Notamacropus eugenii: one gene and its partners. The main gene of each other region encodes a partner of the protein of the gene in region 2 in a complex. Links are inferred from orthologs where the notes say so. Each region holds a gene or a part of one and is shown on either strand. Other genes may lie near its edges.

The links.
Region 1: the proteins of KCND3 (region 2) and KCNIP2 are in contact, whole or in part, in a cryo-EM structure (PDB 7W6S), measured with the Homo sapiens proteins. The link is inferred for Notamacropus eugenii from reciprocal best matches to the Homo sapiens genes KCND3 and KCNIP2. Residues at the interface, in NP_001365898.1 of Homo sapiens: Val5, Ala7, Trp8, Leu9, Phe11, Ala12, Arg13, Ala14, Ala15, Ala16, Ile17, Gly18, Trp19, Met20, Pro21, Val22, Ala23, Asn24, Cys25, Pro26, Met27, Pro28, Leu29, Ala30, Pro31, Asp33, Trp54, Arg60; in NP_775283.1 of Homo sapiens: Arg112, Gly113, Phe114, Asn116, Glu117, Cys118, Val123, Phe128, Ile131, Tyr132, Gln134, Phe135, Phe136, Tyr144, Leu148, Phe152, Phe165, Leu169, Ile172, Leu173, Arg180, Trp183, Ala184, Leu187, Tyr188, Met201, Met205, Ile208, Met211, His228.
Region 3: the proteins of KCND3 (region 2) and KCNIP1 are in contact, whole or in part, in a crystal structure (PDB 2NZ0), measured with the Homo sapiens proteins. The link is inferred for Notamacropus eugenii from reciprocal best matches to the Homo sapiens genes KCND3 and KCNIP1. Residues at the interface, in NP_001365898.1 of Homo sapiens: Ala6, Ala7, Trp8, Leu9, Pro10, Phe11, Ala12, Arg13, Ala14, Ala15, Ala16, Ile17, Gly18, Trp19, Pro21, Val22, Pro26, Met27, Pro28, Leu29, Ala30, Pro31, Lys34, Lys36, Arg37, Asp39, Trp54; in NP_001030009.1 of Homo sapiens: Leu67, Arg69, Gly70, Phe71, Glu74, Val80, Phe85, Ile88, Tyr89, Phe92, Phe93, Tyr101, Leu105, Phe109, Phe122, Ala125, Leu126, Leu129, Leu130, Leu138, Trp140, Thr141, Leu144, Tyr145, Ile161, Val162, Ile165, Tyr166, Met168, Met169.

The regions. Positions count from the first base shown.
Region 1 is NC_092872.1:179,987,691-179,994,954, forward strand, and holds the start of KCNIP2 (A-type potassium channel modulatory protein KCNIP2), read right to left. Parts: upstream 3,062-7,264; 5' UTR 2,991-3,061; coding exon 2,873-2,990; intron 1-2,872. UniProt on the Homo sapiens protein: Regulatory subunit of Kv4/D (Shal)-type voltage-gated rapidly inactivating A-type potassium channels. Modulates channel density, inactivation kinetics and rate of recovery from inactivation in a calcium-dependent and isoform-specific manner.
Region 2 is NC_092873.1:290,858,484-290,865,644, forward strand, and holds the start of KCND3 (A-type voltage-gated potassium channel KCND3), read right to left. Parts: upstream 3,050-7,161; 5' UTR 2,800-3,049; intron 1,958-2,799; exon of another isoform or gene 1,873-1,957; intron 1-1,872. UniProt on the Homo sapiens protein: Pore-forming (alpha) subunit of voltage-gated A-type potassium channels that mediates transmembrane potassium transport in excitable membranes, in brain and heart. In cardiomyocytes, may generate the transient outward potassium current I(To).
Region 3 is NC_092872.1:402,378,032-402,385,600, reverse strand, and holds the start of KCNIP1 (A-type potassium channel modulatory protein KCNIP1), read right to left. Parts: upstream 3,006-7,569; 5' UTR 2,922-3,005; coding exon 2,813-2,921; intron 1-2,812. UniProt on the Homo sapiens protein: Regulatory subunit of Kv4/D (Shal)-type voltage-gated rapidly inactivating A-type potassium channels. Regulates channel density, inactivation kinetics and rate of recovery from inactivation in a calcium-dependent and isoform-specific manner.

The DNA of each region.
Region 1 (7,264 bases), on a different chromosome or scaffold from region 2:
CCGGCTCCAAAATCTGAGAATTTTCACTCTAGAATACTCTCCCTTCTCATCTCTGCCGCTTTGATTCCCTGGCTTCTTTCAAATCCCAGCTAAAATCCCTTCTACAAAAAGTCTTTCCTGATGACCCTAAATGCCAGTGCCTTCCTTTTATTAATTATCTCCAATTTCTTCGGTCTATATCTTGTTTGGACATAGTTGCTTGCACATCTCCCCCATTAGACTGTGAGATCCTTGACAGCGGGGACTGTCTTTTGCTTTTCTTTGTATCTCCTGTACTTAATACAGTACCTGGCACACAATAGGCACTTAATAAAAGCTAGTTTACTGCCTGACTATATCTAATCATATTCCCCTTTTCTCATCACCTATGTTCAATCAATCCATTTCTAGTTCTGTATCTTTAGTCTCCTCTACCTTCTTTTCAGATTCTTACCCCTTTCTAATATATCCTATGCAGCTGCTGGAATATTAACTTTAAAATTCAGCTCCAATAATCCTACCTACCTGCTTAAAGACCTTCAATTACTCTATAGTCTATAGAACAAAGTATAAACTCCTCAGATAAGAATTCAAAACCCTTTACAATCTGGCTCCAATTCATCTTTCTAGCTTTATCTCCTACTATTTCCTACTACGTATCACAGACAAATTGGATTGCATACGTTTCCTCAAATGTACCTCAAGCTTCTCATTGCCCTTGCTCAAGATATATTCCCTAGCCTGAAATGGCTCTGTTTGTTGAAATCCTACCTGCTTTCGTTACACAGCTCAAATTCCCTCTCCTTCAGGAAGTTCCTCTCATCCCCTCAGCAAGCAGCGACCTCTCCTTCTGAACCTCCAGAACACATTGTCCCTCTCTTCTGGTTCCTAAATCATGGATGCACAGGTCTTAACTCCCTTACTAGACTATAAGCACCTTGGGAGAAAGGACAGTTATTATTATCCTTTTCAGCAACCATCAGAGAGACTTATTTAGAGTACATCTTCAGGGCCCCTTACTGTTCCAGGGACCCTTAGGCTATTCTCCCTCTATCACCCACAACTCCTTTCCTAAATATCCCATGATTCATCATTAAACTCTACTTAATGGAAGATAATAATCAACCCATAATGGTAGGTATCAGTGATAGAAGGATGAGGTAAAAATTTTTATTGGGGGGGGGAGTAGAGAGGTACCCTCTACTTTCCTTTCTCCTGAAATCTCGAGTATCATAGCGTAATGGAAAGAATAATGACTTAGACTCAGAAGGTCCAAATTCAACTCCTGGCCCTTATATTTCCCAACTCTATGAGTCTGGAACTTCTGGCATGTCACTAACCTCTCTGAGCCTCACTTTTAAAAGTTGGTAACATTACATACCTCATAGGCTTGTTGTGAAGAAAGTATTTTGTAAACCTTAAATCACTTAGATACATGACATATTATTACTCCCATGTACTCCATCTCCTACTCTGGGCTCCAGCTGGGTTTTTGTCATTAATCTAATCCCACACACCTCAAAGTTGGGAACTTAGAAGTCACTTTTGCTAAGTGGGGCAAGTTGGAGGAACACCTCCATCACTTAGATGAGATATTGGTTGTTGCTAGGTCCTGGAGGTGGGAGGTGATCAGCGAGTAGGGAGGGCCAGTTTCAGCTGCCAGAAGAACTTTCCCAGTTAGCTGTAGCTCCTTGCCTTCCCTTGGAGTCTGGCTGTAGGAGCCTGAACAAGGCCCTGGAATCTTTGCAAAAGGCTCTATGCCTTCCCTCTTTCCACCCACCCCTCCCAATTCTGGTCCCTCCCTCCTAGGACAGGGTAAGGCCACTTCAAATCCCAGTTGCTAGACTAGGTTATTAATGACCTTCCGAGATTGGTGGGGCTATTTTGGGAAGTCACGGCCCTGGTGATTGAGAGTTAGCCAAGCAGGGCTTCTGCCATCCATCATCAGCTGACAGGTCCCAGTAAGGGGTGGAGAATGAGCCACCAAGAGATCTCTAAGCACTCCTTCAACTCCCTGTTGGAGCACTAGGCAGCAGAAGCCCCAGGTAAAGGCAAGAACAGCTCTTAGAGGGTCTCCAGGATAGGAGAACTTTGACCCCAGGTAACCTCCTGCTCTGATATAGCCTGGAAACTATAAACCCCAGCATTTTAGGGGCTGGACTGCCCTAGTCTTTACAAGAGAGGCGTAACAAGACATTTCAGAATTTGTATTTCCAAATAATGGATTAGGACAAATGGAAACTCTTCAGTCTCCCAACTCTACATATGTCATTCACAACCCTGCATAAACCCAGTGGTACAAAACTTAACAAAACGTCCCATAATTGTGATAACCCAACACAATCCCAGAGCCACACAATGGAGGACAGTACAACCCACACAGCCTCATGAATGCTATATAATTCCAGACTTACACAACTTTAACTTTGGTGCTACACAATGCCACAAAACTCCAGAGCTATACAGCCCTCACGTCAATGACACAGAAAACATCCCCTTCCCCAACCCTAACAAATCTGACACACATATTGAAAGAATGCTATACAACTTCCCACATACTGCAGTACAATGCCTGTACTAAGCAATCCAATCCGACCCATACAATCCTATATAAATTCAGAGTTACACAGCTCCGGCAAACTCCCAAGGCCACACAAACCTATAAAATTCACCAACCCTGAGGCTGTCTTCCCATCCCAGATGATGTGTTTCCAGCCCCACCTCTTGTACCCTCCCAGTCAGATATTCACCAGTTGAGACTCTAAGCCCTAGATGCTGGATGCCCTGAGTCCTGGCACCTTTGCCAGGGGTCCTACGGTCCCAACCCCCCACCTTTACTCCTTAATTCTGGTCTTTCAAATCCAGCAGTGGCCTCTCCCTTCCTCCCTCGAACCTGGCGCCAGTGTCCCGGTCACAAACTGGAATAGGGATCGGGCAGCATGTCCCAGGGGGCTCCGGCAGCTGACCGGGCACCAGCTCATGCTGTTGTTGCTGTCCCCGACACACCCCATCCCTTAGCCACTGGCCCCCCACAAAAGTGGGTGGCTCTGGCCTCTGAGCCCTCCTGGGAGAAGAAAGAACTGGCTGTCGGGAAGAGGGATCATTGGCTTCAGTGGGGGGGAGGGCAGGTCTTTGGGGAAGGCGGAGCTCTCTCCTGACATAGTCTCCCATCCCCCACCCCAATACTTGGGGAAAAGTTTCTCAAAAATGTCGGGTCTCTGATTATTTCCTCAGTGGGAGTATATGGAAGGAGATGGCTGCGGGTTGGAGTAGGGGAGACAGGGTGAGGGTGGGAAGTGGGAAGAGCTTTCCTTTCTTCCGCTCCTCCACCTCTATTTCCCGGGTTTCCGACCCCCTAGATATTTTGAGGTTAGGAGGTCAGGCCTGGGGGGCATGGTTGTCATTAGAAACAACAAAAGCGCGGTGAGGGGGAGGTGACAGGTGATTTGACTGTGCCTGTGTCCACCTCTCTGATTTTCGTACCCTGTCTCTCGTCTGTTTTTCTCTGAATCCCTTTCTTTCTCTGCCTCCCTCAGTCTTCTGATTTCTGTCTCCTCCTTAAGCTTCTTGTGTCTTCCAAGGGTCTCCTCCCTCATTCTAAGGTTTCTCTGTCACCTCAGAGCTCCCCTCTGCCGTCTCTACCCTTGCTCACTCCAAGCCCACTCCCTTCTCCCCGCCAAACCCACAACACTTCAAAACTAAGTCCTCGGGTCCCTGTAGCAGTCCCACCACACCGACCCACTCCAAGATTCTGGGTAACGCCGGCAGTGCAGAGATCTGACATGAGTGATTCGCACTCAGGACCCCAGGCTCTGATCCGCTTTGACTCCCTTTAATATCCGAGGCTCCTCTGGTCTTTTCCTGTCCCGCGCGCAGCCCGTCTGCCACACGAGGGCGCCCCATCCCTTGGAACGCGTGTAATCACTACTGGCAAGAGCACCTTGGCCCCTGTCTGTAGGAAGCATGATCTTTCATCGCTCCCTCCCCACGACCCCTGCCCCTTCTCTCCTCCCCAAGCAGGTTGAATAAAAGTTTCTTTCTCAAGGATCCCAGGCAGGAACAGAGAAACATGAAGACCCAGGCAGGACAAAGACTTCTTACCACGGGGGAGAGAGAATCTTCCCAGGACTCAAGGCAGGGACGAAGAGACAATTCCTGGAGAGGGTACAGATCTGGGACGATAGGACAGAAAGACAAATCTAGGGGAACCTCGAAAAGACACACCCGCTGACACACAAACACACACCCATAGACAAATACACAGACACCTAGAACAATAGAAAAGAAAGACAAATCTAAGGAACCTCAAACACACACACAAACACACACACAAACATACAGAGACCTGGGACAGTAGGACAGAAGGACAACTAGAGGGACCCTTGGAAATACACAAACAAACGTAGACAAATACATAGATCTGGGACAACAGTACAGAAAGACAATTTCAGGAAACCTTGAACACACACACAGACATAGACACAGACAAAGACACAGAGACCTGGCACAATACCAAACCTCAACCCATCCTCCTCAAACACACACACACATGCACACATACACACACACCTGGGACAGAAGGATAGAAAGGCAACTCCAGGAAACTTGGAACACACACAGACACACATAGACAAACACAAAGACCTGGGACAGTAGAAAGACAACTCCGGTGAACCTGAAAAATACATACATACACACACAGACAAATACACAGAGACCTGGGACAAGAGAATAGAAAGACAACTCCAGGGAGCTTTGAACTCTCTCTCTCTCTCTCTCTCTCTCTCTCTCTCTCTCTCATACACACACACACACACACACACACACACACACACACACACACACCTGGAACAGTAGGCTGGAAAGATAACTCCGAGGAACCTCAGACAGTCAGATAGACAAACATATAAAGACCTGGGACAGTAGGATGAAAAGACAACTCCAGGAAACCTTGGACAAACACACACACACACAGATCTGGAACAATAGTACAGAAAGACAACTCCAGAGAACCTTGAACACACACAGACACACAAACACACAGACCTGGGACGATAGTACAGAAAGACAATTTCAGGAAACTTTAAACACACACACACACACACACACACACACACACACACACTGACCTGGGACAATAGGATAGAAAGACAACTCCAGGAAACCTGGAACACACACAGAAACACATAGACAAACACAAAGAGCTAGGACAATAGGCCAGAAAGACAACTCCAGGGAACTTTGAATACACACACACATACACACACACACACACACACACACATCTGGGACAATAGTATAGAAAGACAACTCCAGGAAACTTTGAATACACACACAGACATAGACAAGGACAGAGACCTAGGACAGAAGCAATGAAAGACAATTCCAGAGAACCTCAAACACAAACACACACACGAATAGATACCTGGGACAGTAGGATAGAAAAACAAATCATTCTGAGGAGTCCACAGGTTTCACCAGATTGCCAAAGAGGCTCACAACAACAACAACCAAAATGTTAAGAACCCACACAAACACACAGATCTGGGACAATAGTACAAAAAGACAACTCCAGGAAACGTTGAACACATACACAGATATAGATATAGACAAAGGCACAGAGACCTGGGACAGTAGAATAGAAAGACAGAAAGATCTTCAGTAGGATAGAAAGACAACTCCAGGGTACCTGGAAAACACACATACACACATACACACACACACACACACACACACAGACCTGGGATAGTAAGATAGAAAGACAACTCCAGTGAACCTGGAACACACACACACACACACACACACACACACACACGCACAGATCTGGGACAGAAGGAGCAACACCTCTTTTTTCTTCCCTCTCTAACCCCCAATCAACAAGGGAACAGAAAGGCATCCAGTACCAGGACAGGGCAGGAGGAACAGGGAGCCTCTCCTCAAGGACTCAGTCCTAGGACAGAAAGATTTCCACTGCCCCTACCCCCACCCCAAGACCTAAATAGAGACTAAGAGACTTTCACTTCCAATCACAGATGGGGACAGAAAACCAATCCTCTCAGGCCCAAGTCCAGAATAGGAACAGATTCTGCTGCCCTTACCCCAGCCTAGTCTCCAGTCAAATCCAGGAGGGTACAGAAAGTCTCCTCCCTTCCCTGCACCTTCAGATGGGGACAAAGAAAGTATCTCTGCCTCAGGTTTGTCTCCCCAGCACCTAGTCCTGGAAGAGAGACCTCCTCCACAGTGAATACTAAGACAGGCCTAGTCCTGGAGAACAGACTTCTATCTGCCCAAAACAACAAAACCTTTCTGTAATTTTTATAGAAAACTCAGAGCCCGTCTTCTTGTCCTAGATCACATATTTCAGCACTGTGGACAGCGACAGTTCTGGGAAAAGCCCATCAATTTCTATTCCATTCTTCGCATTTACAGCTTTGCCTTCATTCTTACCCTCTCAGTTACCCTTTCCAACCATGAACTTTCTATTTTACTTCTTAAAGTGGGCCCCATCAGCTATATCCTGCTAGCCCTACAACAAAAGTTAAGGATTGTTGTTTCCATTTTCAGAGAAAACAAGTCCAAAGAATGGAAGCAACTAGTCCAAGATCACCCTTGAATATGTTGAGTGGGTCCTCTCACCAAAAATATTTAAACCCTTGCTGGCCCTTGTTATGTTATTCCATTTTTACAGGGTGGAGAGGATGACCCTCTAATGGGATAGTTAATTAATTGGGAAAAATAAATTATTAATAAGGTGGTAATTAAGTCCTCTTCTATCTTCCCCAATTTGTCCAAGGCCCAGGCTAGAAACAGTAGGAGAGCAGGGCCTGGGGTAAAACAATAGGCACCTAGAACCCTGAATTCTCCTCTACTTTTCTTGGGAGACCTGACACCAGCCTGGTCCTATGGGACCTGAAGGGGAAACCCCAATATAGACCAAAAAATGTGATGGGGTCCCAGGAGCAGAGAGCAGGTACAGCTTGTTCCTTCTACCCCTAACCGTCTCCACTACAATCCCTTTTTGTGATGGCTCATGTTTGTATTCCCTCATAAAGCTCATGGTCATAGCCATTTTCATACCTTCATCAGTTTTGCCCTAAACTCATTGAGATTACCTCAACCTAGCTTCTGAGATAGATGCATGAACACACAAATATAGACATAAAGTAAACATATAAGAATATGTACATGGATAAACCTGCCACAGAATTGCATACATATTTATATACATAACTGAATTTGTCTTATACTACAGGGATGTAAGTACTTATATTTACATCCTTCCACC
Region 2 (7,161 bases):
AGATCCATTGACTATTTATCAACTGGGGAATGACAAGTATTTTTTATAAATTTGACTCTGTTCTCTATAAATTTGAGAAATGAGACCTTTATCAGAGGCCTTATTGTTGCCAGATTTTTACCAGTTTTTGGCTTTCCTTATAATTTTGGTTGCATTGGTTTTACTTTTGAAAAAAAATTTCTAATTTTATATAATCAAACTTATCTATTTTATATTTTGTAATGCTCTCTATGTCTTCTTTGGTCCTAAATTCTTCCCTTATCCATAAATCTGACAGATAAATTATTCTATGCTCTCTTAATTTGCTTATGGTATCAGTCTTTATGTGTAAGTCATGTTGACCTTATCTAGATTGAAGGCATTTTACAAAATGTTTTCTTGTATTAGAAAGTAAGGGGTCATGGAGGTAGGAAAATCCAAATAAAACACTTCCATGTCTTTAAATCCTCAGGGCTAACTTTCCCTATTCAGTGAGCCTGGGTTACTTTCTCAAACAGGTCAAATAAGCAATTTAGCAATTTCCAGGGGATCCAGACAATTATTGCTCTCTCCCTCACCTCCAGAATCTCTTCCCTCCAGTCTCCACAAAAATGCAAAAAGGGGCAGATTACTCCATTGATTAAATGTCTGACTTTGGGGGTGGGGTGTGGCGTCTTCTCCATTTAACCTGTACTTGGTCCACATAGGAGCCCTACCTTCAGTATAACCTCACAGGTAAGAACTGATTTCACTCTTTGAGCATTCTATAGTATGTCACCCCTTGCTAGGCACCGACAGCTCACCCACAGCCAACCCTAGTATGCATTCCTACAACAGGCAAAGGATCCCGGCCCCGTTTCCAGCCAATGGCGCTGCATACGCCTTGAATGTCAGGTTTTTACTAGGACGTGTACTCTTCCTAAATGGAAAACCTGAAGCTATTTTTGTTTTTGACAGCAGAGTTTGGCAGCAAGAGGGGGGGAGAAGTGGGGGTTGGGGAAGAGAGACACCCCCTGAAACGACAAAGATAAAAAGCACAAGAGAAGGGGAATAGATTTCTCCCTGCTATAAAAAAAAGTTGCCAGCACAATTGCCAAGCTTCTCTTCGGGGTGGGAGAGCATCGCCCTGGGGTTTAGATTTACTTAAGGCTTTAACTTCCAAACTGGGTTAAAGCCTAAAATGCCAGTCACCTGGGTAAGAGTCCATCCAAAGGGAAGTCAGAGAGCAAAGAAGTCAGTTTCTGCCTGCACGGATTCCTGATTTGTAATCTGCCCCGCCCCCCATGAGATAATATTCGTAAAGCTCTTAGCACTGTGTCCAGCACGTAGTAGGCACTATTTCATGCTTATTCCTTTCTTCCCTTCCCTCCGACCATCATTAAAGGGGTGGAATTTAAGGCAAGGAGGGAAGGGAAAGGATAATAAATTGGAAAGTGCCCTAGTTGACCCCAGAAAGCAATTCTTGAACTTGACTAGGTGAACCATTCCCTTGACCCCAAAAGGCTCAGACCATCTGATCCAGAGAGACTCGTTTCTCCTACAGTGCCGCTCCTAGGCCAGCCAGAGCACTCTCCTAAGTGTTTTTCCTTCCTCTTCCACAGCAAAAGGGAAAAATGACTTCTCTCTCCCCCTTGTTACATGCATTTTATCCCACAAGTAGCCTACAACCAGAGATAAACACATCAAGAAATATATTTGAGCCAACATATCTACAATATGTAAATATGCCCATGGGAAGGTAGGATCACCCTATTTGCATACATATGCAGAAACATTTATGATTACAAAAATCATGCACATGGAAACTTTAGGTGCAGGGGCACAAAAGATGTGTACATACATAACACGCAAAATGTATACTGTTTGCTATATAACATATATTTGTTTCCTCAGGACACTTCTACGTTCTTTAAGCATGCAAGAGGGTGAGGAGAAACCATCCATTCTCTAAAGCAATAAAATGGAGATTTTCCTTTACCAGTAGATTCTTCAGCCTGTTGCTTGTATTTCTGTCCCGACCCCAATAACAGGAGGAGGCTTTTATACTGGGCTCAAGTTCAGCATCAGGGAAAGTAAATCAACTCAACTAGTCCAGATGACTTCTCTTATCCTCTGACCCAGTCCTCTGTAAATACCTTAGAAAATATACCCTTTGGCTCCATCTGCCCAAGTCTCGAAGAATCAACCTCTGATTTTAATAGAACCCCTTTGAGAGCGGAAGGACGGAGCAGGACTGGGACAAAAACAGCTGTTCCAAGCCCATCTGACTTCTAGGAGCATAGAGTGCTAGGCTCACTCCGGGCTGGAGAACTTTACCAAGCGCCCTGATTCATTCACTCTCCCTTTCTTCCCTTGCTCCCCTCCCTCAGCAAGCAGGAGTACAGAATCTATCCCATCTGACACCTCTCCCCAACCTGAGCTTTCCGAGCGATCAGTCCCTCTGGGTCCTTAAGGGACAGGGGCCACGATAGAGGTTCCTGGCCCCCAAATGAGAGCACAGCTTTAAGGGATAAGCAGCAAGTGAACATCTAAGCAGAATGCTGGACCTCCAGGCTATCCGCAAGGGAAGGGCGCCCCAGAGTCTGCTCCCTACCCTTCCTCCGGAACCTGGGGGTCGGGAGCGGAGCGCGGAGCACAGCGCCCCCCGCCCCGCCCCCCGCACTCCCCAGCCCTAGTGCCCAGCCCCCAGGGCGTGGGGGAGGGACTCGAGTGGGCAGCTGGAGCAACAGGCGTGGGAGCAACACCTGCGGACCCCTTCCCTCCCCCACCTCGTCCCTTTTACCCCACCCCCAACCCCAATTCCTCGCCCTCTCCTCTTACCTTGGGCGCAGAAAGCCCCCGGCCCCTCCCGCGCCCAGGGCTCCCGGGGAAGCTGCAGCCCGGTGCCCGGAGCCGGGGTCTGGCCGAGGCGGAGGCAGCCCCAGCGGCTCGGAGCCGTGAGCGTGGAACGGTAGCTCGCGGTGCTTCTAGGCGAGGTGAAGTCCGCTCGCTCGCTCTCTCCTTGCGTCCGCCAGGCACTCCGTCCCTCCTCCTCCCCCGCCGCCTCTCCGCTCCGGGCTCGGCAGCGCGCCCCCCTTCCTCCTTCTTTCCTTCCTTCCCTCCCTCCCTCCCTCCCCGGCTGCCCGCCTCGCTTGCTCCTTCGCTCGCTGCCCCCGCCAATCCCGGCGTCGCGGGAAGCCGAGACCAGCGGGCCACCGGCTAGATGGATAGGTCCCTCTCCCTAGGGGGGAGGCCGCGGGGGCGCGGGGCGGGGCCAGGGGGAGGAGGGAAGCGGGGAGCAGGAGCCGTGGGTGGGGGGGATGAATCTGGAGACGAAGACCGCAGGCAGGCTCCTTGGTGCCCGGCGGGTCCGGGCAGGAAGAGCTGCCCCGGCCACAGGCCGGAGAGCTGGGCGCTGCCGTAGCCGCCCGCGAATGGAGAGAGGCGGAGGATCGCTAGCCTAGCGGCCGGGAGGAGGCCCGGGGGCGAGGGTGTGCGAGGGGGAGTGACTCGGTATGCCTGTGCGAGTGTGTGTGTGTGTGTGTGTGTGTGTGTGTGTGTGTGTGTGTGTGTGTGTGTGTGTGTGTGTGTGTGTGTGTGTGTGTGTGTGTGTCTGTGTCTGTGTCTGTGTCTGTGTCTGTGTCTCTGTCTGTCTGTCTGTGTATGGGCGGGTGTGGTGCGCGCACGAGCGAATGTGGGGGAGAGAGAGCGAGAGCGAGAAGCGAGGCTCAGTCTTAGCCTTAGCTTTCTTTCCTTGTGCGTCTCCCTGGGTGAGTGGAGGAATCCGACTGTGTGACTGTATCGAGCGGAGTGTGGAGCCACGAGTGTGAGTGCGTGTGTCCGTGTGGGCACCGGGTGGGGGGAGGGGCCAAGCCAAAGTGCCAGCATGGGTGTGTGAAGCCGGGAATATCCGGAGTATGCTGTGTGTCAGAGAGCACGGGTATCCGTGTGCTCTCGTGGTTGAGGCTATGTGGGCATGTAGGTGATGGTGAAGCTGTGCAAATGAATGTTTGTATAGAGCTGACTGTGTCCACACGGGAGCGCCCCCACCATCACCTGCCTGTGTTTTGACCCCAGCCACCTGGGGAGGCGTCACCTTCGAGCTCCTCTGGGAGTACACTTCTTCAAGCTCCAGGACTTGTTCATCGAATCAAAGCACCGCACCCAGCAGCCCTCGGAGAAGCCCCAGTATTGGCACTCTCTATGCCCCACTATACAACGCTTATACCTTTGCTCTTTCAGGGTGAAGGGACGCCTCTTTTCTTAAAGGGCATGGCTGCTCCGCTAATGGTCCGTTTTGAGAGAGCACAGTATGGTCCGTGTGAGCCTGTTTCGAATCCCCCTTTGCATGTCCCAGACTCGAGGGTCCGAAGTCCGGGCTTCAGAGACTGAACAACCTCATCACTATTCCTGGTGCTTGCACCAAGCTCCCCATCCCCAGAGTCGGACGCTTACCTACTGTCCCTCTGCCCCATACCTTGGGCTCTCAAACCCACGCCCTGATGTTGAGAGGTGAGTGGAGAACGTGGAGAGGCTATACGAGACTGGCCAACTCCAGACTCCCCCTGCAGGGGAGGATGGAGCGTCCTGGAAGAGATTCTCCGACCACTCACTGGTCTCTGGGGTCCGGCAATCTTGATAGGTCCCTGGGGTGCTCAGAACCCAGGGTTTGGGAGAACCTGTCACTTCTCTGGTTCTCCCCAAGAAGATAAAAAAGAGAAATGGCTTCTCTAGGTTGAATGTGTGTGAGAGCGGGTGTGTCTGTTAGGGATGGAAAGGGATATTGATACGTCCTCAGAAGTTCAGTGTGAACCCAAGGTTTGGAAAAAGAACCCACAGGATCATGAAGTCTAGCTTGAGGAGGAGCCAGAATTTTCATCTGATCCCTTTAGAAATGAGAGTCTTCGGGGTAACTGGACATTTGACTGGGTGATGTATTGGGAAACTTACATATTTTCCTCCCACTTTGGAAATGGAATAGAATTCGTAACAATGACCTGCGTACCTGGGAACTTTGTGTGGCAACCAGGCAGCCTGGAAATTTGCCCGAGGTTTTATGAATAATACCCCTTCCCGGAATTCCCCTTTCTCCCTATACTGCCACTCTTAGATTATTGTAGTGACACCAACCAGGCAGCAGGGCATGGGTGAGGATGGGAGACGAAAAGCACCATATAGCAGGTGGGTGTGGACCAGAGGGTGAGGTTGCCAGGAGTCCCAGTGCTGTGTTTGATTAGCATAATGATTTGCATACCGTAATAATGATTAACAACAGTGCCACTCCCTGGTAGATACGGGAAGGATTCAGGGAGATCCTTTGCAGTTTTCCTCTTCCTTTCCCTTCTCTTCCTTTCCCCACCCCCCAAATCCCTCCTGGGCACAACTAATTTTCTAGCAAGTGGTTTGAACTAGGGACTTCGTCTCCTCTGGGAGGATGCTCCTTAACCCTTATAAACTGGCTCAGAGCTCACAGGACATCTTCCAGTACAGTCTCCAAGTACATTTACAAGTTAGTTGTATAATCCCTGACTTTTCTTATTCTTCTTTTTATTATTACTATTAAAAATCATTCACATTTCTTTAACACTTTAAGCCTTACAAAGTCCATTTCACATTAGCTACGGAAGGTAGCTTATACAAGTTTTCCAAATGGGACCACAGAAAGTTCAGAGAAGCTGACCCACTCAGAGCCACACAGTTAGAATTAAGTGAAAATCAAATTCAGGCCTCTTGAGTCCAATACCTGTTTCCTTTCCACTCCACCCACCTACCCACCCTTGATCTAAATCTTGAGAGACTTTATAGTATTTCCATGTGTAGGTTCCTATGCTTTGAACTGGAGTTCATTATCTATTCATCTATCTATCTGTATGTATGTAATATGTGCCTACACACATATGTATGCATATGCATATATGCATACATATATACATATGTACATATACATATGTATGTACGCACCTCTTATGGAATTGTTCTTGAGGTGGGTATCTTCACTAATGGGGAGGTAGGTAGAAGGGAAGGAGAAAGTAGGAAAAAACTTCCTTCTAAAAAGAAACCTTAAGTAATTGACTGCCATCTCTTAGGGATACTTTTAGAGCTAACCTGTGATTTCACTGGAGTAAGGAACTCCATCTACAAATGTAGTTTTGTGATTATTCTGCGACTATTAGTCTTAGAGAGGTGCCCAGAACACTGAAGGGCTAAGTCACTTGTCCACACAACTACTATGTATCACATGTGAGACTCACATCTTCCTACCCACAATATGAAGCTGCCTCTCTCAGAGAGAGTTTAGGGGAAGGAATTAGATGACTCTTCACATACCTCAGAGCCTCATGATTCAGAAAAAAAAATAATATTTTTTTTCCTTTTCCTTTCCTCCAAAATGACGGGACAACAGAAACAACAAAAAACACTTTTATTTTCTCTTATAATCAAGTGGCCTAGAGAACATGAGATTAAAATGTCTAGGACAAGGCTTCTTGGAATGTGAGGCAATCATAGATTCTCTTCAGCTGTAAAATTCTTAGAGATCATCTAGTCCAACTGTTTTATTTTCCAAAGGGCTGGAGCAGTTGAATGATTTGCCTAAGGTTCATACCTCTGATGAGAGGCAGAGTTAGGTTATGGAGCCCAAGGTCCGTTCACTCAGGGCCACAGCTCCTTGAACACCACCCGATGCTTCTTAGGCTTGTGCAGCTAGTTAGGGCTCTCCCTTTTCCTCATTTTCCCAGAGTCTCCCAGTCTCTCTTTGGCTGCCTGTCCTCACCTTTTCTCTCCTTTGCCTCTGGCCTGGCCGGGATTTTCAGTTGCTTTTCCCCCATGACTCGGCCGCCTTTCCTTTACTCTCAGCTTCTATTTAAAAAGCTAATTTGGGAGCTTGGTCGATGCTCCCAATTCAGGCATTGTAAATGGGAAATGAAAGTCAGAGAGTGTCTTTCTCCAGAAGCTGCCGAAGTCCTGGCTTTTTTTTTTTTTTCTGTTTGCCACCAGCCTGGCTGTGGCATTCGGGAGCTCCTGCACTCCTGTCTCGGCTGCTTTTAACAGGGGTTTGTATGTCCTTTCCAACCTGGGCACCCATGAGAATGACTCTCTGACTACTCTTTGTAGAGCTTTTCACTGTTGGCACCTCTGCTTGGCAGCCTTGCGGTCAAGCTTGAACCTCCTGGTCCCTGACAGCTATACCACCAGCCTGGTGTA
Region 3 (7,569 bases), on a different chromosome or scaffold from region 2:
TGTTCCCCCTCCAGCTGTTATAATGGTGTGCTTGACAGCCAAAATGAAAGGTTATATTGCCTGAGGATGGAACATGTGCTTTAAAACCAAGAAATTGAGTTTCTGCAACTTTAGGTTGGATGCAGATGCTGACTTTTTCTTATAGATACACTCTATATACCATAGAAGTCTAGGCAAGCAATTTAGTTTTTCCAGAAGAACCAAGCAAGCTCAGGGATATCAAAAGGATGACTTGTTGTCCTCCAGTGCCATACTAGTGACCTTCAGAGCTAAACTAGGCCCAAATAGGTCCCAGATATACACTAGAGGCAGAGTGCAGACCTCTGTGAAGGGAGGAGCTCCATATAGTAGGTATACCAGTTAAAAATGATATTAGGAAGCACATAGTAAAAGGATATCCATGAGTCTCAGTACATGTTATAATAATAATAATACCTAGCATTTATAGAGCATCGAATTGTGTTAGGTACTATGCTAAGTGCTTTGTAAGATTTATCTTATTTGATTCTCACCACAACCCTGCAAGGTAGGTACAGTTATTATCCCCATTTTACAGTTGAGGAAACTGAGGCAAATAGAATTTAAGTGACTTGTCCAGGGTCATAGAGCTAGTGAATATCTGAGACTGAATTTAAATTTGGATTTTCCTGACCCCGGGTCCAATACTCTATCCACAGCATCCCCTAGCAGTAAGTATGTTCAGTTGTTTTTTCCAATTGTGTCTTACTTTTTGGGACCTCATTGGGATTTTCTTGGCAGAGATACTGGAGTGGTTTGCCATTTCCTTCTCCAGTTCATTTTACAGATGAGGAAACTGAGGCAAACAGGATTAAATAATTTGCCCAAGGTCATATAGCTAGTAAGTATTTGAGGTCAGATTTGAATTTAGGAAGATGAGTCTTCTAGACTTCAGGTCCAGCCTCTGTGCATTATGGTGCCACCTAGCCGCCCACTTAGCAGTATGGTATGTTACAAATACAATGTCGAGGGGGAGGGGAAAGCTGTCTAGATTGGTTTTATGGTATTGGGTTCCCAACCGGATAAAAAAACCAAAAGAAAACATGATTGTGTTGTCAAGTTAAAGTATAATGTACAATCACCTTGTCTCACTAACATCCCTGATTTGCTTTGGCTGGGAAAATAACATGGCTGAAACTGTACAGGAGTAATTGAGTTAACTGTGTTCTTAGAAAGCCCTAAATTCTACCTCTGGGGAATGAAGGTGGAAACACCTAATATGAAAATGAGTTCCAGATGACCTCCCCACCCCCACCCCGGCAAAATCCCCAGGCTCTTCTTTTGTGAGTAATTTCTCTGAACAAGTTGGAAAGTTATCCCTGGAGAGGGGTAAAGACATCCAGAGTAAGTTCTGAATTGTGGTCCCTTTCAGAAACATGTGGTAGTAGAGCACTGAATCACACACAAAAGCTAACTGAGGGAAAGGAAGGTATACATCTATCTATATCGATATATATATATATATATATATATACACATATGTATATCTATCTGTCTATGTATATACTTAAGCAAATTGGAAAGGATATTAGTGATCACCTAATCTAACTACTCCTTTGGGAAGTTAATGCCTGAAGAGCCAGGAGTGACTTGTTCTCAATCACAAAGCTTGGTCAGTGGCAAAGCAGGAGGGGCCTAGAATCTTTGTCTTATGACTCTTTATTGAATAATTCTTCACAATAGTTTTTCATGTTAGGCTTGTTTATTATGGAAAATTTCCATATGTGCTTCAGCTTTCCAACCATAGGGTAATAGTTCAATGGAATCTATTCCTTTCCTCAATCCACCAGTAGCTAGCTAATACGAACCTAGATAACTCATTCTTTATCTTTGGCCGGGTATTTTCTGGTAATTCAAATAAGTGTTTCTGGGAACATTTCACATCATTCTGTCATTCTCAGGGAAAAAAAATCCACTTCTTTTTACACATGTAGTGAACTTGTGGTGAGCTGTTTCTCTGTGTAGCTCGTTAACATAGGAATCGTTCTAGATGTCTAAAACACTTTGACCATCAAAAATGTATTTCCAGAAGATTGCATTGCAATGAATTGCCCTTTACCTGGAAAAAAAATGTGGCTGAATAAGATTTTTATTCCCTCAGCCCCTTAATTAAGTCTTGCAGCTCAACTGCCCTAGTTTTTCTAATTCTAAATACCCTGTTTCCCTGGATTTATGGCTATATATCATCTCAGTGGATGGGAGGCTCGAATTAGAAATTAATGGAAGTGAGTGGGGAGGGAGGGGCATCATATTGGAAGTCAAAGAAAAAAAGATTAAAAAAAGGCATCAGTCTTAAAACAAGAAGTTAGCTGAAAACATATATTCTCTAAAAGTTACTGTTCATCATAGACTCATTCAGTGGGCATGACAGCCAATAAATAACCAGAAGAGATATAATACACCTATATCAGGGAGAGTGAAATAGAACTCTGCTACCCCTGCCCCCCTGCTCCCCTGCTCCCTGCCTCCTTGTAGGAGAATGGTAGTATTCTAATCTCACACATAGCCAGTCTCACCTCCCTCCAATTCCCATCCATATTTAACAAGCATTAAAAAGATAGGGATCTATACATCTGCGTGCTGGAAAGGAAGTACCTGACTGTCCCCCATACCCAGGGCACTTAAAACACACACACACACACACACACACACACACACACACACAACACACACACACACACACACACACACACACACACACACACACACACACACACACACACACACACACACTCCTAGCAAGCAACATCTGAAACCACATTCACAAAGAATGAAAACTTATCAGTCTGCTTACCATCCGACAAGTCAATTAGGCCAAGGTAGTGTAAAAGTTTCAGAGAGGAGCATATCACCACCACAATCCCTAATGTCTGAAGTCCCTCGGAGTCCCCTTTACTCCACATGCTCACAGATACCCGCTGGCACGAGAACAAAATAACCAGCAGACATCTAAAGCTCCAGAACAGTCAGATCAAAAGCTCCCTGCCCACCAGTCCAATAACTGAATGGCTCATTTTCCCTCCCTGCCTCTCTTTCCTCATACTCCCTCTCTTCCTATTTCCCTCCCTCCCTTCCTCCCTCCCTCCCTTCCTTCCTCTCTTTTCACTCTGCCAGCTCCCTCTCCCCTTCCTTCCAGCATGCAGTCTCAGCATTTAGTGGTAATCTTTGGTTTGTTTTTTTCCCCTTTTCTTTCCTTTCTCTCCTCAGGGCAGTTCCAGGGCAGTTTGGTTTTTGTTTTTCAACAAGCCTCAGAAATAACTGCCAAACCCCGAGATATTTCAAACCATTTCTAATCTGGGACTCAGAGCAATTTTCTCATTCTTGGTCATTTTCAGAGAAATCATATTTGTTGTCAGAACACAAAGATTTCCTGCTCTTGGTCTTTGGGGAGCTGGGAGGATAAAACCCATTGAAAAAGAACATGACACGCTTGTTTGTTCCACCTCTCTTTGTGACACATTTACTGAGCAGATTTTCCAGGTGGAAGTGTCCCTCTATCTTTATGATTCAGTGCATTCCTGGAAACCATATCCTAAGGCAGATTACTCCAAAAGTGGACTGAGCAGCGGCTGTGGTGTTTGTCTGCTGGAATAGTTCAGCATTAATATTATTTCCGTTATTGGAAATGGCTGAGTGAGCAGGAGGTCATGAAGTGAATTTTAGGTGCCTGTTAGTGTTTAACGAAGGAGGTTGAAGGATTGTCTGAGTTTTCAAAACTGGAAGCCAGAAGAGTGGATTTGAGCTCTGGGGTCTGTTGGAAAATGGTACATTTTTATATGATGAGGGTGTAGGCCTTTCCTTGGGGGCTTGGAGGAGGCATGGTCCCAGTTGTGGGAAAAGGCAAGATGGATTCTCCTTGCACAGTGATCTAGCCCTGGGTAAAATTGTGAAGTGAAAAAGTCGGTCATCTTCCTCCTTTTTCATATTCTTTGTTCTATTTTAGGACCCAGGTCTCTTGTGGAGGATACTCAACTAGGTATCAGGAGACTTGGGTTCCAGTCATACCTCTGTTACCTACTAGAAATGCAACACTGGGCGTTACCTCTCTTGGCCTCAGTTTCCTCAACTGTTAAAGGAATGGTTTAGAGTAAGTGATTTCTCAGGTCCCTTAGAAATCTGATTATGATTTTAGGTCCCTCCTATCAATCTGCTAATTGATTTCATGCCAAGGTGCTATTGATAATATCTTTCTCTTTGGATATATTTTTAGTTTAAAAGAACATGCTTATAGAGTCCAGTGCTTAGCCAAAAGCAATGAATCCCTAATGGTAGAAATTCAGCCCCTAACATATCTTAATGGAAGAATAATTTGAGCCAAGTGGTTTTTCTGATGACCCTCAAATCACACCAACTGTCTATTGTGCCTACATATCTAATCAATTTGAATCATCTCAGAGAAGCAACAAGCCATAGTGGATAGAGGACTACACAGAATTAAAAAAGATATGAGTTCATGGGATGATCAGATTTTAGATTTATTTGGTCCAACCCCCTCATTTTACAGGTACAGAAACTGAGGCCAAGAGACGTATAATGCTTTTTCCGAGGTTATTAAGTCACAGAGTTCAGATTTGAACCCAGAGTTCTCTGACTCCAAGACCATATCGAGTTCTGTCTCTTGAACTAACTAGTTTTGTGATCTTGGGAAAATCACTTAACCTTTCTGAAGTTCCAGATTCCTCATCTCAGGGAGTTGTAGTGTAGATCAATTGGGAATAAATGTGCAATATGGAAAGTCAGAACTCACACACAAGAACAAGGGCATCCTGGACTAGGAGGTTAGCATGGAGTCTCCACTTCAACTCAGGGTTCTACATGCTCTCCCTAAACTGAAGCACCTGCTGGAATCCTTGTCCTAGAGATATAATATTTCCATTTTTCCTTAAAAGAGACATTCCAGATTTCTGAAATTAGCCTAGGAAAAGGAAGCATTGGGCTTGGAGTCAGGAAGACTCATCTTTGTGAGTTCAAATCTGGCCTCAGACCCTTAATAGCTGTATGACCCCCGGCAAGACAATTAATCCTGTTTGCTTCAGTTTCCTCACCCTGTAAAATGAGTTGGAGAAGAAAATGGCAAACCACTCCAAGTATCTCTGCTAAGAAAACCCTAAACGGGGTCACGAAGACTCAGGCATGACTGAAACAACTAAAATTTCAAGGTTAATGCCTATTCTGATGAGCAACATGTGTGGAAGAACAAATAATATTTCAAGATGGTTCAATTTACAAAAATAAAACAAAAAAGGAAAACAAGAGCCTCTATTTGGGACAATGATTGGGTTTCCAGTTTTGTACAGGAGACTATGGTAGGTATTCATACAAATAGAACTTTCTGGCTATTCTTAAAAAGCAATGTGATAATATATTACTTAGGGTAATAATAAAAAATGAACATCTGTCAAAATAACAAGCTTGGTGCCAAGAACGTTGTAGTGTCTTTGTTTACTCTGTTTACTCATTAAAATGAGCTAAGTGGAGCAGTGGAGAGAGTGTTGAGCTAGGAGTTACAGAGACCTTGCTTCAGTCCTTGCCTCAGATATTTACTAAATGTGTAAATAGCTCAATAAATAGCTTAACCTCATCTCTAATGAAGGATAATAATAGTACACCCACCTTTTTGCAAGGTTCAAATGAGATAATATATATAATGCACTTTACAAGCCTTAAAGCTCTATATTAATGTTAGCTGTTACTATAATGATCAATTCAGTAATCACTAAAAATTCTACTCTTCCTCACAGATCTCCTACATCTTTCTTGTAAATGACACATTGTGCCACTGTCTGAATTTGGCCAGTATTGCCTTTCTAGACATTGGCAGTATCCTCACTACGCTTTTCCCAGGCTGCACAGATGGTTTACAGTTTGACAGTTAGGCAGCTGAATAATGACAATCTTTACCAAACCACAGGATACAGAGATCACCTTGCATTCATGGACACTGGGGGAATGGAGGTGGGTGGGTGGGGACTAGACAATGAATGGAAGTTATGCTTGACTTATCCAGACTGAAAGAATATTAATTCTTTCCTTGTCAGACACAAAAACAGCCAGATGGAATCTCTAGACATTGGAGGACAGAGCAGCATCACCCAAAAGTGTGGGGCATTCCTTGCAAGTTTGCACGGTGAATTTAGTTTGTTTCTATCCAAAGCCTTCACTTTTATGGTTAAACAAAACCAGATAAAGTACTGTGTCTACCTTTGATTAGGGGAATGCTGACAACTCATGGACCACTGGCTGTCCTGTGCATGACATAGGACATTTGAGTAATAAGAGCTAGCATTTACATAGTTTTTTAAGTTTTACATGCATAATTCACACATTTTCTTATGAAGGTATTGGTTTTGCTTCTCTCAGATTAAATTGTCCTTCACTTCTGTATATTTACATTCCCAATCTGTTGTTCTCTCTTTTGTTTTTCAAGTGAGACTTGCCATGGCAGATACCAGTTTTACTATTCCATCCATTTTATTTTATTTTGCAGGTCATAAATTCTGCTCTGATTTCTCTTTTGAACCATTCATTAACAGCATATTGTGATTTCATGCTCTCCTGCCATTCCACAGGGTCCTCTGGCTTATCAAATGTTTGATCATTTTCTTCTGTTTTGCAGTATTTATTCATGGATTCTTGAACTTGTTTACTAGATCTGGAGGAAATAATTCCTTCTGTTGTTACTGTTTTCCCTGTTGATTTAACTGCTTATGGTCAAGGTCTTGAGTTTTCATCTTCCTGTTTTCTCTGGATATTTCAGTCTTATTCCCCTATTCTCCTCTGACTCTGCCCCCTCTGATGATGGTTTCCTTTGGAGGCTGGGTTTTAAAAGATCTCTCAGCCTTCTCCCATGCTAGGCAACTCATGATTCTTCAGCCTAGGACTCTGCCCTGGGTGACTTTTGGGTGGTCAGAATTGACCCCACTTGTACATTGTGCTCTTTCCCTCAGGCTTAGTGGAATGCTGCATAGTCTACCACACATGGTGTGCTGTCCTGGTGGCTTGTCTCACTCTCTCTGTTTCTTAGTTTTCTGGCCCTTCGCTAGAAGTTCAGAGGGCTACTGCATTGCTTATATGAGGCTGTCTACCCAGGAATGGCAGTTCAGAGCTTTGCAACACTGGTGCTATGGGGTTGTGGTTCCCATCAGACATTTGTTCCTGAAGGGCTGTAGCCATGTTAGACATTTGTCTCCACCAGGGGAAACTTCTGCATCCTGCAGCTAGGGTCTCTGTAGTACTGGAAGAAAGGAGAGGGGTCTAGGGTGTGGTGGTGGGCTTTGTTGTAAGCCTGTGTTGGATCCTTGGGTATGCTAGTGTAGCCTCTCTTCAGGTAGCTTGGGACGTAGAAGAGGGCTGTTGAATAGGCTTAGAGTCAGTGAGCATCAGTTTGTGCATTTGGGTTTTTTAAAACCTTTTCTTGAATTCTGGATGTCCTACACCATGGAGATAACTGAGGTTGCTTTATTTTTGGCTCATAGTTTCAGTTTTGGAGAGATTTAAGAGGTCATGGGAATGAAAGGAAATGTGTACTCCTCTGTCTTGTTGCTTGGCAAA